2 linked regions of the Drosophila melanogaster genome follow. The protein of the gene in region 1 interacts with the protein of each later gene in a pairwise test. Each region holds a gene or a part of one and is shown on either strand. Other genes may lie near its edges. The genes, in order: CG8788 and Gfrl.

The links.
Region 2: the proteins of CG8788 (region 1) and Gfrl interact in a two-hybrid assay, tested with the Drosophila melanogaster proteins (one large-scale study listed by BioGRID).

Annotation. Positions count from the first base shown.
Region 1 is NT_033778.4:9,136,496-9,142,560, forward strand, and holds CG8788 (uncharacterized protein), read left to right. Parts: upstream 1-1,990; 5' UTR 1,991-2,075; intron 2,076-2,442; 5' UTR 2,443-2,773; intron 2,774-2,858; exon of another isoform or gene 2,859-3,484; 5' UTR 3,485-3,573; coding exon 3,574-3,803; intron 3,804-4,200; exon of another isoform or gene 4,201-4,626; intron 4,627-4,726; exon of another isoform or gene 4,727-4,866; intron 4,867-4,942; coding exon 4,943-4,955; 3' UTR 4,956-5,218; coding exon of another isoform or gene 5,219-5,356; 3' UTR 5,357-5,486; downstream 5,487-6,065. Other genes in the region: alc (alicorn), read right to left, coding at 457-1,104; CG44286 (uncharacterized protein), read left to right, coding at 5,219-5,356.
Region 2 is NT_033777.3:20,446,625-20,451,659, forward strand, and holds the start of Gfrl (glial cell line-derived neurotrophic family receptor-like), read right to left. Parts: upstream 3,064-5,035; 5' UTR 2,835-3,063; exon of another isoform or gene 2,821-2,834; intron 1-2,820.

The sequences.
Region 1 (6,065 bases):
ACAGTCCTGAACTTTGTTATCCAGAAAAATATTTTATCTAAGAAAACGTTACTATTCCCTTAAATCTTTTCTATAGTTCAAATTGTTCGCCTGATAGCAATGTTCAATGGTCACTTAGATAAACTGTGTCCACAAAACTAGCGACATCCAACCGGATTTAGTAGTAATCTACAAATGGGTTTTATCGCAGTTTGCTCCCTTAAACTTGTAACTTTAATTGCATTTGTTATTTGCGAAGCATTTGAACGGGGTTCCTCAAAAAAAAAACAAAAAAAAAGCTAAAGCCGGATGAGCATCTCTGAACCCAATTGAAATCCACTACGATTACTGGGAGACTTCGTTTTGTTTACGGCGATTACACAACCCGGGGCGAAAATCGGTAACTGCGTCATTCGGGCGCCCGAATCAAAAACACTGAATAGCCTGCTGCATATATTGATTTTCCGCCCAACTGACCAGCTTGGGATCGTGCTTCCACTCGCCGTCCACGCAGAACTTGTACTGATGGTCGCCCTCCGGCAGATCTATGATGGTCACGAAGTTCTGATGGCTGCGCACCATGGCCATGGGCTTCCAATCGGAGAATGTGCCCGAGATGGTGACGTTCTTGCCGCCGCCGTCCCACCGCAGAACTGTGGGCAGTGCCGTCTTCCGGATGTCGTCCTCATCGCCGGTTAACTGAGATCCAGTCGCTGGCTCCGCTCCTACCGCTGCCTCCTCCTCCTCCTCGTTGTTGTCCATGCTGGAGTGGTCTCGGGTAACAGCTGATGTCGCGTCGTCGTGTGCGGTGCCTCGTCTAGTGGATCCAGTTCCAGTTCCCGTGTAGTACGGGTCGTCGTCTTCTTGCGACGAGCCCTCGTTCAAGACTGCCGTATGTTTTTTGTCGAACGAGAAAGCTTGGCCTCCGCCGCCTCCTCCTCCACCCCCCGCAGCTCCCACCGCCCCCGCTGCAGCGCCCAGAGCTGCTGCGCCAGCACTCCCGCCCTGTCCCGCTCCTCCTCCACCAATCGAATCGCGGAAATGTGCGGGAGAGCTCGGCGTGGACAAGTCGGTCGACTTGTGGCGCTCGCGTTGCATGTGCACGGAGGAGCTGGCGTTGCCCATGCTTATTGCCGTACTCGCTGGCTCGTCGGCAGGTCACGGACCGAGTATAATGATTGGATTTGGACTGGGTTCGACTGCTCCCTTTGTTTGGCACTTTATACTTCGCTTTAAAATGGACTCGCGTTTTTCGTTGGATTACTCTAGTACTCTGATCACATCACCGTTCGTGGCTCGAAGTCTGTGTGTTGTATTTGGCATTTAGTAGGCAGAAAACTGCATTATTTAATCGTTTGTTTCGTAGAAAAATTGCTAATTATAAACATTTACATATATACACAGGCAGTATATTCGCAGTTCCAATTGGCGAGAGCACACGCAGGGTTGCTTTCCCGTGAGTTCAAAACAAAGAAGTTATCGGGCGACAGCACACAGTGTGCCGCCCTGGTCTTAGCAGCTGTGACCGTTATCGGAGCTGCCACTCGATTTGAATTTATAGTTAGGTTGAATGTTCTGAAAATTAAAGTGTCATGGGTTTCCAGCACCTTCAGAAAGTTAAGATTACGTGGAATTAGATTAAAGTGGCAGCCACTCATTAAAGATTTTTAAATTCATAGCAACATTCTTTCAATTCTTATCATTTCAAGACAATAGATTGCATCGGTGAATTGCTTGAGTTTAATCACTATCCCAAAGCTATCAACCAATTAATAAATAGGTTAATGAATCATACAATTTATCTATTTATTTATGAATTCAACAGAATTAATTCCACTGAATTATCGGCTGACAAATCCAGATTAAACGGGTAAAGAGTGCTTTCCTAGTCGACTATATTCCTGTAAATGCGTAAAACGAGCATTACAACAGCGGAAAACTGAGGGTGCAAAGTCCACGACAATCAACATGCATCGGAGCACAATAAAAAGGCAAAAGTGGAAAGGAAGACTAGGCAAGACCGAGAAGAGTGACAAAGAGCGAGGGCGGAAGTGCGGCGAGGACAAGGCTGATCTGCGATGAACACCAGGTAGAAGGTAAGTGTATCCACCGCACAGATTTAGCCAAAACAGTCCAAAACATATGTATGAAAGCAACTAAAAGAAACGGCGATCAAAACAAACAAATGTTTGGTACCAGTGTACCACAGATGTAGAAACCAGACGCTTTCCAGACTATGGCAGCACCCCAAGAAACTCTTGGAAATACTACTCATTGCTACACCGCACATATGACGTACACTTGGAGAAACAAGCACATTCCAAACAATGCGTATGTACCTAGTTATTTCATTACAAGGAATTGAATTTAATGTACCCAAAGTTAAGCAGTAGCATTTAGTATTTATGTTTTCTGGATATATTAACTGAATGAATAGGAAACTTGTACCTAAATCCATTTCAGATCCGTGCCATTTCTTCCAGTGCACGAGCGGCTTTCCCATGTGTGTGTGCTGCGTGGTAGCCACTCACACAGCGGCAAAACACGACGCCTTCGCATTTAAAATTGATTAAAACTAAAAACACTCGATGCCGACGCCGTGCCTTGTTTCGTTTTCAGTGCGATCGCAGACATTGTGCAAAACGGTTCACAGTTCTCTCCTCGCGACTGCAGGTGATCGAGTTTTTTTCGTTTGAGTGCACTAAAAAAAAACAGAGCAAGCGCAGCAACTGGAGTTGGAGTGAAGCCCCAGGAGTCACGTCCCTTTCGAAGTCGAGTGAACTAAGCATTTAAGGTAGGTCAGTTGGATGGTTGGCTACAATGGGTTGACCTCGCCCGGTTATTAGTCTCGGTTCACTTTGCATTTGGTGCTCTTCAAGGTCCGCAGCCCGCTTATCTGGCCACGTCCGACTAACCCATTGATCGGAGCCCAGAAGGCCCGGCGGAGTCCCAAACAACTTAACTATTTCCCATGGCTCCCGAGGGCGGCGCGTGTTTGCGCCGATTCTCGACCACGTTATCAGCGATCTGCTTAGCCAGTGAACTGTTCTGAACTGCTAATTGATAATATGTATGCGGCAACACCTACATATGTACATACGTATGTGTATACTTACATATTTAGATTCGAGTTGAAACTGCGTCGCATTTGCCACTTAGTTGCCGTTTTCCCAAAGCCTGTTTGATCAGCCTACTCTTCACACATACTCCCCTCCGGATGAAGCACAAAGAGCCTCCATCGGTGAAAAAAAAAAACAAGTATGAAGCTCCAAGATGGCCACTCCACCTGGAGCAGATACGATAATAATAGATGTATACCAAGAGCTTATCAATAGCCCGACTTGTTTTCCAACCGCACCTTAAATAAATTCAATTTGGATCGTACGACGGCCGGAGGAGAAGATCCCCGCACTTGGAAACAGCTAGAGGGGCACGAGCCCACCGAAAAAAACAAGATTTCAGACAAAATAAATAAATTATGGTGTCTTCGCATATATATTTTTAGCTTTATCAATTTCGGCCGTTTTTGCGGAGGCTCGACGCACATACACTCAGACGGCCAATCGGAACCAGATTTGTAGCGAGGGTCGCACCATGGATAGCGTCAAGTCGTTCTTCGCCGGCTCCACCAAGGATGGCAGCCTGTCCAGCAACAGGCAGGCCAATGTGCCCGGCTCCTCAGTCGCCGGCCGCTGGGGTCGCAGCTGGAGCACCAGCTCCCAGCACACGGATCCCGAGCCAGGAGCCACCAGCTCGGTCTCTAGCAAGAGCGCCAATCCGTGCGATGCGAAGCGCAAGGACAGTGACAACTACTTCTACATCATGTGAGTTGGTTGGAGTAAACCTCTTTTAAGGGCCAGATTAGATAGGAGGAATTTGAGTTGACTGACATCTTTATTTGTGTTCCCGTTGGGCAGTTCCAAATTGGAAATAAGAATAGATACCACTACTCAGAAAATAAATAGTTAAGCACTAATTAGAATGATTCATAGTAGATTAGCTTGTTAATCAAAAGATCTTTGTATTCAAGGGATGAATGAATAAGAAATTGTAATCAAGATAAGATTGAAATGATCCTTTTAATCTTTTATATCATTGAAGCAGGTTTCCCACATAGTTACGTAGCCTCAGAGAGTAACTTACTTGTATCTTACTTATATACATATACATATATGGAAAGTATAAAGTATATATAGTGGATAATCTGGTCAAATAGCTCGATCAATGACCCCAATGTTGTTATATAAACCAGTCTAGTAGCACACAGGGTACCTTTTCCCTTCGTATTCCCTAGTTTCTCCATTTCTATCACGTTTTTGGAGCAGTTCCTATGTAGTTTATGGCCCTGTTTACTTGGCACAGGGAATATTTTGATTATCTTGCAACCGCCTTATCAGACGTAGTAGCCCATGAGTAAATGGCTTCGGAGGGTGCAGTAATTTCCGACCAGATAGCCGTTCAATGCCTGCAATTTTCGAATGAACAGGGGTTAAGCTCGATCAGTGGGATTAATTAAATGCCAGAGGAGCGTAGCCGCCGTTCTCTAGCCGATGTTCTGGCAAACCAGTTTGTGCGGTCATAGATTCATTCGTTGGCTCACCTTGAACGTAGATCGCTCGGCCAGGTTGGCTCTGAGCTCTGAGCGAGGTGGGCGATATTGATATTTTGGGGGGATCTGGTCTGGAACTGCATAACCAGTTAAGAATCAGTTGCGAATTAACTGGCGCTGCGAACAGCTGAGTAAGCCACGATCGGGGAATGTTAGTGTCCGGGGATAGCCCCGAAAATAACCAATCTGGGCGTGGGACTTGCCAGGTGGTGTGTACATAAGTGCGTGATTCAGTGGAGCAGCTGGGCAGTTACCATTGGGCATTCTCTCAGCACGCTGTAAGATTCGCGATCGCGTTAGCAATTGCCATACCACAATTGATGCAATAACAACTCTCGTTTCATTTCGTTTAAGGTGGCGCGCTTGAAGATTAACAGATGATTGTGGATCGGAGCACCAGTCGGATGAGTCCTGATCCGTGTCTAAAGTGACCTGCAGCTATATATATATATCTGATACCCTATTAGGAACATCGGAGCGTTGTCACTGGCAACAACCGCCTTTTGCCTTGTTGCACCATCTCCATTGGACGAGTCCGGTGTTTAGTGATACTAGTTATTTATTTACGATTTTACACAAGACATTCATTGTACGTGCTGTCCGATCGATCCCTTCTCCTCCTCCTTCTATATGGACGCCATCACAATCCTGGGCTTGATCTACTGGCTGATCTGCATGATTGCGTTCGGACCACTGATGTTCTTCGTCTGCGTTTACCTGCCAGAGGTTCCGGTGCGATATGTAAAGGGTCTGAGGCAGCAGACCTGAGCGCCTCCATCCTACTTGACTACCCCCAACTAGCAAAGTCCGTAGTAGATAGATTGCCCAAGCCATAGTTAAAATCACATTGATGTACACCCGATCGATTTGCAATAAAAGTATACACAAGAATGCATTCAACTTAAAGGTGTATCGTGATTAAAATAGTGGTATTGTGGGTTTTTCGTAAGATAAGATGTTCTCTTATCCGCGCGTTGATAAGACAAAGAAAGATACATTTGGGGGGTTTTATTCAGAACCTGCTTGTAAGGAACAAGTGTATATAAATAAAATATTTTAGTTGATGTTTTTTTGCGCCTCTCGCGGCTACTGAGTTACCTGCAGTCGAGAGGCTTCATGTTTTTATTTTCGTTTGAATCGCTCGATACAAAGCTAAGACTGCGGAAAGATGAGTGCCACAAAACATATTTGGGTTTTTATCAAAAAGCTACATTTCTTTGTTGGAATATTAGATCTGCATACACCTGATGGCCAATCAGCGTTATTCAAAATAAACAAATCAAATATGAAACTACGTTGATACCTACTTTTGCTCATGTGAGGCCTGACTATGCTTATTTCGTTTATTTTAAAATCACATTCCTAGTTTATGTACCATTTGTTGAATTGCCAAAGGAATTAATGCCTTGTATTCTCTCCCTCGCTTCGAACTAAAATTTTGCTTAATTAACAGCAGTATTGATTATTAAATTAAACA
Region 2 (5,035 bases), on another chromosome or scaffold:
ATGCGTAATAATAAGTATTCATATGTGCGGGAGTGTGTGTTTGTGTGTGTGCGGAGGAGTGCGGTGCCGACCTCGCATAATTGCTGTCATGAAACTCGTTATAATACACCTACGGTGCATGGAGTGAGCTGGCATTTTGTCAGCTTATGAATCCACTCCACTCCACATCACTTAATTTCACTCGATTTTCGACTCCCCCACAAGCATTGATTGATTCCCTTTGGCCGGCCAGTGAGTAATTGTTGTTGATTTAATAATTTATTGCGGTGGCAATTATTTAAACTGGCCATCGACAAGCTATGACATCAGCCCTCTTCGAATAGAAACCGTAAACATTTCGATCGAGGACGAGCGGTGCAAATGGCAAATCCCCTTCTCGGCGACGCATTTGCATAAGCAAATCTGATGCTACATGCAAAGGCACCAAGGTTGGAAGGTTGGCAAATAAAAAGTAGAAAGTTGAAAGTGGAAGCCGGAACCCAGAACCATACACGGCACACACGTGTATGTCAAAGCGAATGAGTTGAAAAGCTGCATTAAACAACACTTAGATGTGGCCAAAAGGACGGCAGGAGCTGATGGGAGTTGGTGGGTGCAGCGGCAGAAATGATTCATGATTCGGGTGCGGACAGCGGGGAACTCAAAGTGAAAGGAGTCCGGAGACGAACAAAGGCCACGGATCGCTGAGCAGGGTGCGGGGGAGTGTTGCAGCAAAGCAAATAATGTTAAAGTTGTTCCACAAGCAGCTGCTGCCATCGCCACTACACACGGCGAAATAATTCACTTTGGAGTTGCGTACCTTCGCGTACTTCTTTTGTTGTTCACAAAATAAATACAATTTATGTAGCTGAAACAAAAAGTATCTAAATAATGGCATGTCCCAGATTGACCACAAAGAATGAAGTCAGAAACCGATATTCTTTGAACTTTTTTTTTTTTTTTGTAAGTTAATTTATTTAACTTAACAAATTTATTAACACTCCACTAAAGTGAAAACTGGCTAGACCTAAGTTATGAGAAAATTTATTTATACATCCAAATGTAAGTTAGGTGGTATCATAATCTCGTAATCTCTTTAAGATTATTTTTTCTGTGTACCTAGAAAAAATTGCGCGCAGGTAACAAGCAAAACAAAGGCACACAAAAGGTAGCTAGAAAAAATACATACATATAACACCGAGAAAAACTGCATAAAATGTCAAGGTAAAACTAACAAACTGGCTTAGGAGCGATTTAACGGAAACGGAAATGCCAGCGAACGTTTAAAGCGCCACCAACTTGCGACAGCTGCATTTAAAAGCCGAGAACTTCTTTTACTTGGCGCGATAAGAAACAGGAGCAGGAGCAAAAGGATATAAATACAAAATACAGAGCCCTTGAATGGGCCGCTTAATTAGAGTGTAAACGGGCGACAGGCGCAAAGTTCAAATCGCTACTCAAAAGTAATTAAAAAGTTGCAAATAAAACGCAAAGAATACGGCCAAATTACGCGATTGCAAAGAAACTTTGAGACAGTTAGGCAACGCTTTAAAAAAAATCAGAACAGAACCCCTTTGCCATTTAAATTGGGAATGGATTACGACGAATGGAGCGGTGGCACTGAACAATTGCAGCAATTTCAACTCCAACTCATTGAACAGCACTTGGGAACTACGCCAACAATTTTACGCTTGGGCCTAACCAGAAATTCCCGGCCAGGACTACCACCGCACTCCGATTCAGTTGAATGCATTGCAACTATTTTAGGGGCACTCATTTTTCAGTTGAGCTGCCATCGGAGTGAGTTCCTAGTTACCAGTTCCCAGTTAGCAGTTACCAGTTACCAGTACCAAGTTCCCAGTTGGATGTTACGTATTTATGCCCCTAGTCCTGGCAGACAAGGATAGGCAGGCGACATGGTGAGACATGAGGACATGGGGACATGGAGACATGTGCATGGATCGCCACATTGTGGGCCTGTGTGTGTGTGTGCGCCAGGTAATCACGTCATTATCACGTGAAATTTCGGCATTAACGTGAATTTACGATTTGCACATGAGCACGAGCCAAGAAACCGAAAAAAAAGAAATAACTACCAAATGGCAGAGTAGAGGAGCCGAGCCGAGCAGTCGACCCAAGGTATCGACGCACATAAACTCACATTAAATGCGATTGCCAATTTATTTACTAAGTGAGGCGCAGCAACGTCGCAGGAACAGGTTTTGCTTTGCTGAAACAGTACTAAACCAAGAGGAGCCCAGCTGGCAACGGCAAGTTGGCTCAAATTTTAGAGCGGAAATAGTGCGGCAGGCGATATGCGATGGGCCGTGGGCTGTGGGCTGTGGGCCGTGGGCCAGGGGTTTGTAATTGAACCAGCCACCCGAAAGTTGTTGTAGCGAATAAACCTGAGCCAAAAACTTCACTTCACTCACACACGGAGAGTGTGCCATAGTGTGGTGGGAGGGGATAAGGTTGGCAACTTTTTTGCATACAATTAACGAAAGTGGCGCACCTAGGTAAATAACATGAAATATTTGCTTTTTCGGAGCGATGTGAGATGGAAGAGGGGCAATGGGTGGTGGGGGGATAAGCGTGAAGGCATGCGAGTGCTCAACCGCATTAACCCATTACCAGCATAAGCAGTAAGCAGTAAGCCGTGCGGCACTGCCAGCTGCTGCTCGGAGTTTTCCTTTGCTTGCCACTTTCCCCTTCGCCGGGCCATACAATTTTCCAACACATTTGGCAAATTAAATTATATACTATGGGCTATAGTATGCAGTGGCACAAATCTCGGGCGAAGAAAGCACACTCGACTGATTTTTGTTGGTTTTTCTGACTGACACTTTATGATTTACAGCTTAGCTCCGTGTTGACTCGAAGATTGCGATCGACGTTTCTGGATATTCCATTCACTCGACTCGACGATCCTCGCTCGCGGCACGCACACATATCAGCCGTGCCATTGGCAATTCGCTGGCATTCGTATTTCCGCTTCCGCTAGAGTCGAATTCGCATCGAATTGAATCGCACTGCCCGCTTGCCATTGGCCGCGCGTCCGTTCGTCACGAGTCTCAGTCGAAAACTGTTTGGCCCGTACGAAGTCGGGTCCTTTCACCGCACGAAGCTCTAAGGACTCGGCTCCGAGTTCTCTGGGCCATCGGCAAATGTAAATTAACAGTCCAAATAACAGCTGTAAAGTCAGAGATTTCCAGCTGAGAGTAAAAGAGAGAAAGGACACTAACAATTATCCGTTTTGTTTTGGTTGCACATTCGGCGAGTAAGTTCCCTCTCCATTCTCGTTTTTTTCGTGGAATAAGCAGAGTATGACTCTCAAACTGTAGGAAACAAGGTCTTGTATCGAAAGTCACTCGCTTCGCAAGTTCTATTCCATTTTAAACATTTCCTTTAAAAAGTTTACTGTAGTTTTGCAAAATTATAAGTACTTTTGGTATTTTAATATACAAAAACGTATTGTTAGCGTTATTCAAATGTCAAGTCCATAATAGACTTCAATTATGTATGTAAGTGAGAACATTTCTAAATTTATATTATTAAAGCTTTATGTTTTGATATCAAGCTATACAAACGTCACCCTAATGGATATTAGATACAAATGACTTCTGTTTAATAACGTACGCATTTAGAGCTTACTTATCAGATTTCTTATTAAAATTCTCGTGTTGGCCTAGGACTCTGCGTACGAGCCAAAAGCTCACGACGTGACACAAAAACGAATGGATGGATGGTGGAAACGACGGCAGACGATGGATGACGACGCGTGAGAGTGTCCAATAAAAATTACGTATACGCAGCGAGTGCCCGAAGCGGCGACCATGCCTCACGAAGCGTGCGGTAATTGGCAAAAGAAACACACACAAAAAAGGATAACCCTTCGACACTTCACCCACACCCGCCAGCCCATTTTGCTGGCTAGAACTAAAAAATGAAAGGGCATCGACAAAAAATATTCGCAACAAAAATGAACCCAAAAGTTCCCGAAAATACTTTCACAGCTTATTATTTATATGTCGTGATATGCAATCGAGTTTTGTATCAAAATATATGGAAATAAGCTGGGTGGGATAATTTTAAAATATTTTATTTAAATTAAGGAATTTTGCGTACTTATGCTAAAAGTCTTGCAATATTGAATCTTTTATTTAATACAAATTTAAAATTAAAATGATCTTTTCTATAAATGTTTGTAGCTAGTCAAGATATAGATGTGAGAAATACACCTCCTTACTAACGTTTAGTTAAATAAAACCATAGTTTCCATAAATCAGAGAGTAATAAGTGTTTCCAAAAATATTAATTCCTCTTTGCAAGACCTAAAAGAATGGGTCAAAATTGGCCAGGGGTCAAGAAATTGGCTCTGGGCGTCGGCACTCCCGGCATGTCAAAATGTCGCCGGGGCTATAAATACTGGCCGTCGAAAGGACTCAAGGAAACGCTCCGATTCCACCAGAATTGGTGGGCGGACTCAGGGATTGAGGATCCCGAAGTTTGCCACCTGAATAGCTGCACGAACCCAAGTCGGAATAATTCTTCGCGGAGCACGTTGTAATTATCGCGTGAAATCAAAGCGATTCCTTGCCAAAACAATGAGTCCTGGCCGGTGTCCTGGCAACGCGGTGGCTCCTCGACGGCGAGGCTCTTTTGTGCGGCCGGACTTTTATGTTTTCCCGCAGCCGAGGTAAGCTGATTATTTCATTTCCATTGTGCTCGCCCCTCGGCATAACTTAATTTTTATGGCACTTATGATATTTTAATCTAATGAAAGTGTAATTACATTGCCATTGCTAATTTATGCTCGGTTCGGAGCAATTTGTTTTACCTGTTACACTGCCCGTTAAAAGAAAATGCTTAGTGCCTGATTCGAATACGATTTCCTACCACTTCTTGTTTTCAATTTACTTATAAAGCGCTTTAGTTCATTTGCCTAATTAATTGAAAACAAGTGTTTTTTTGGTAGTGCAGGATATATTTTACTCACTGCGAACCGTTTGGAGTATAGGACTCTTTTCGGGGCTTACCTAAAAAGAAAATAAGACGA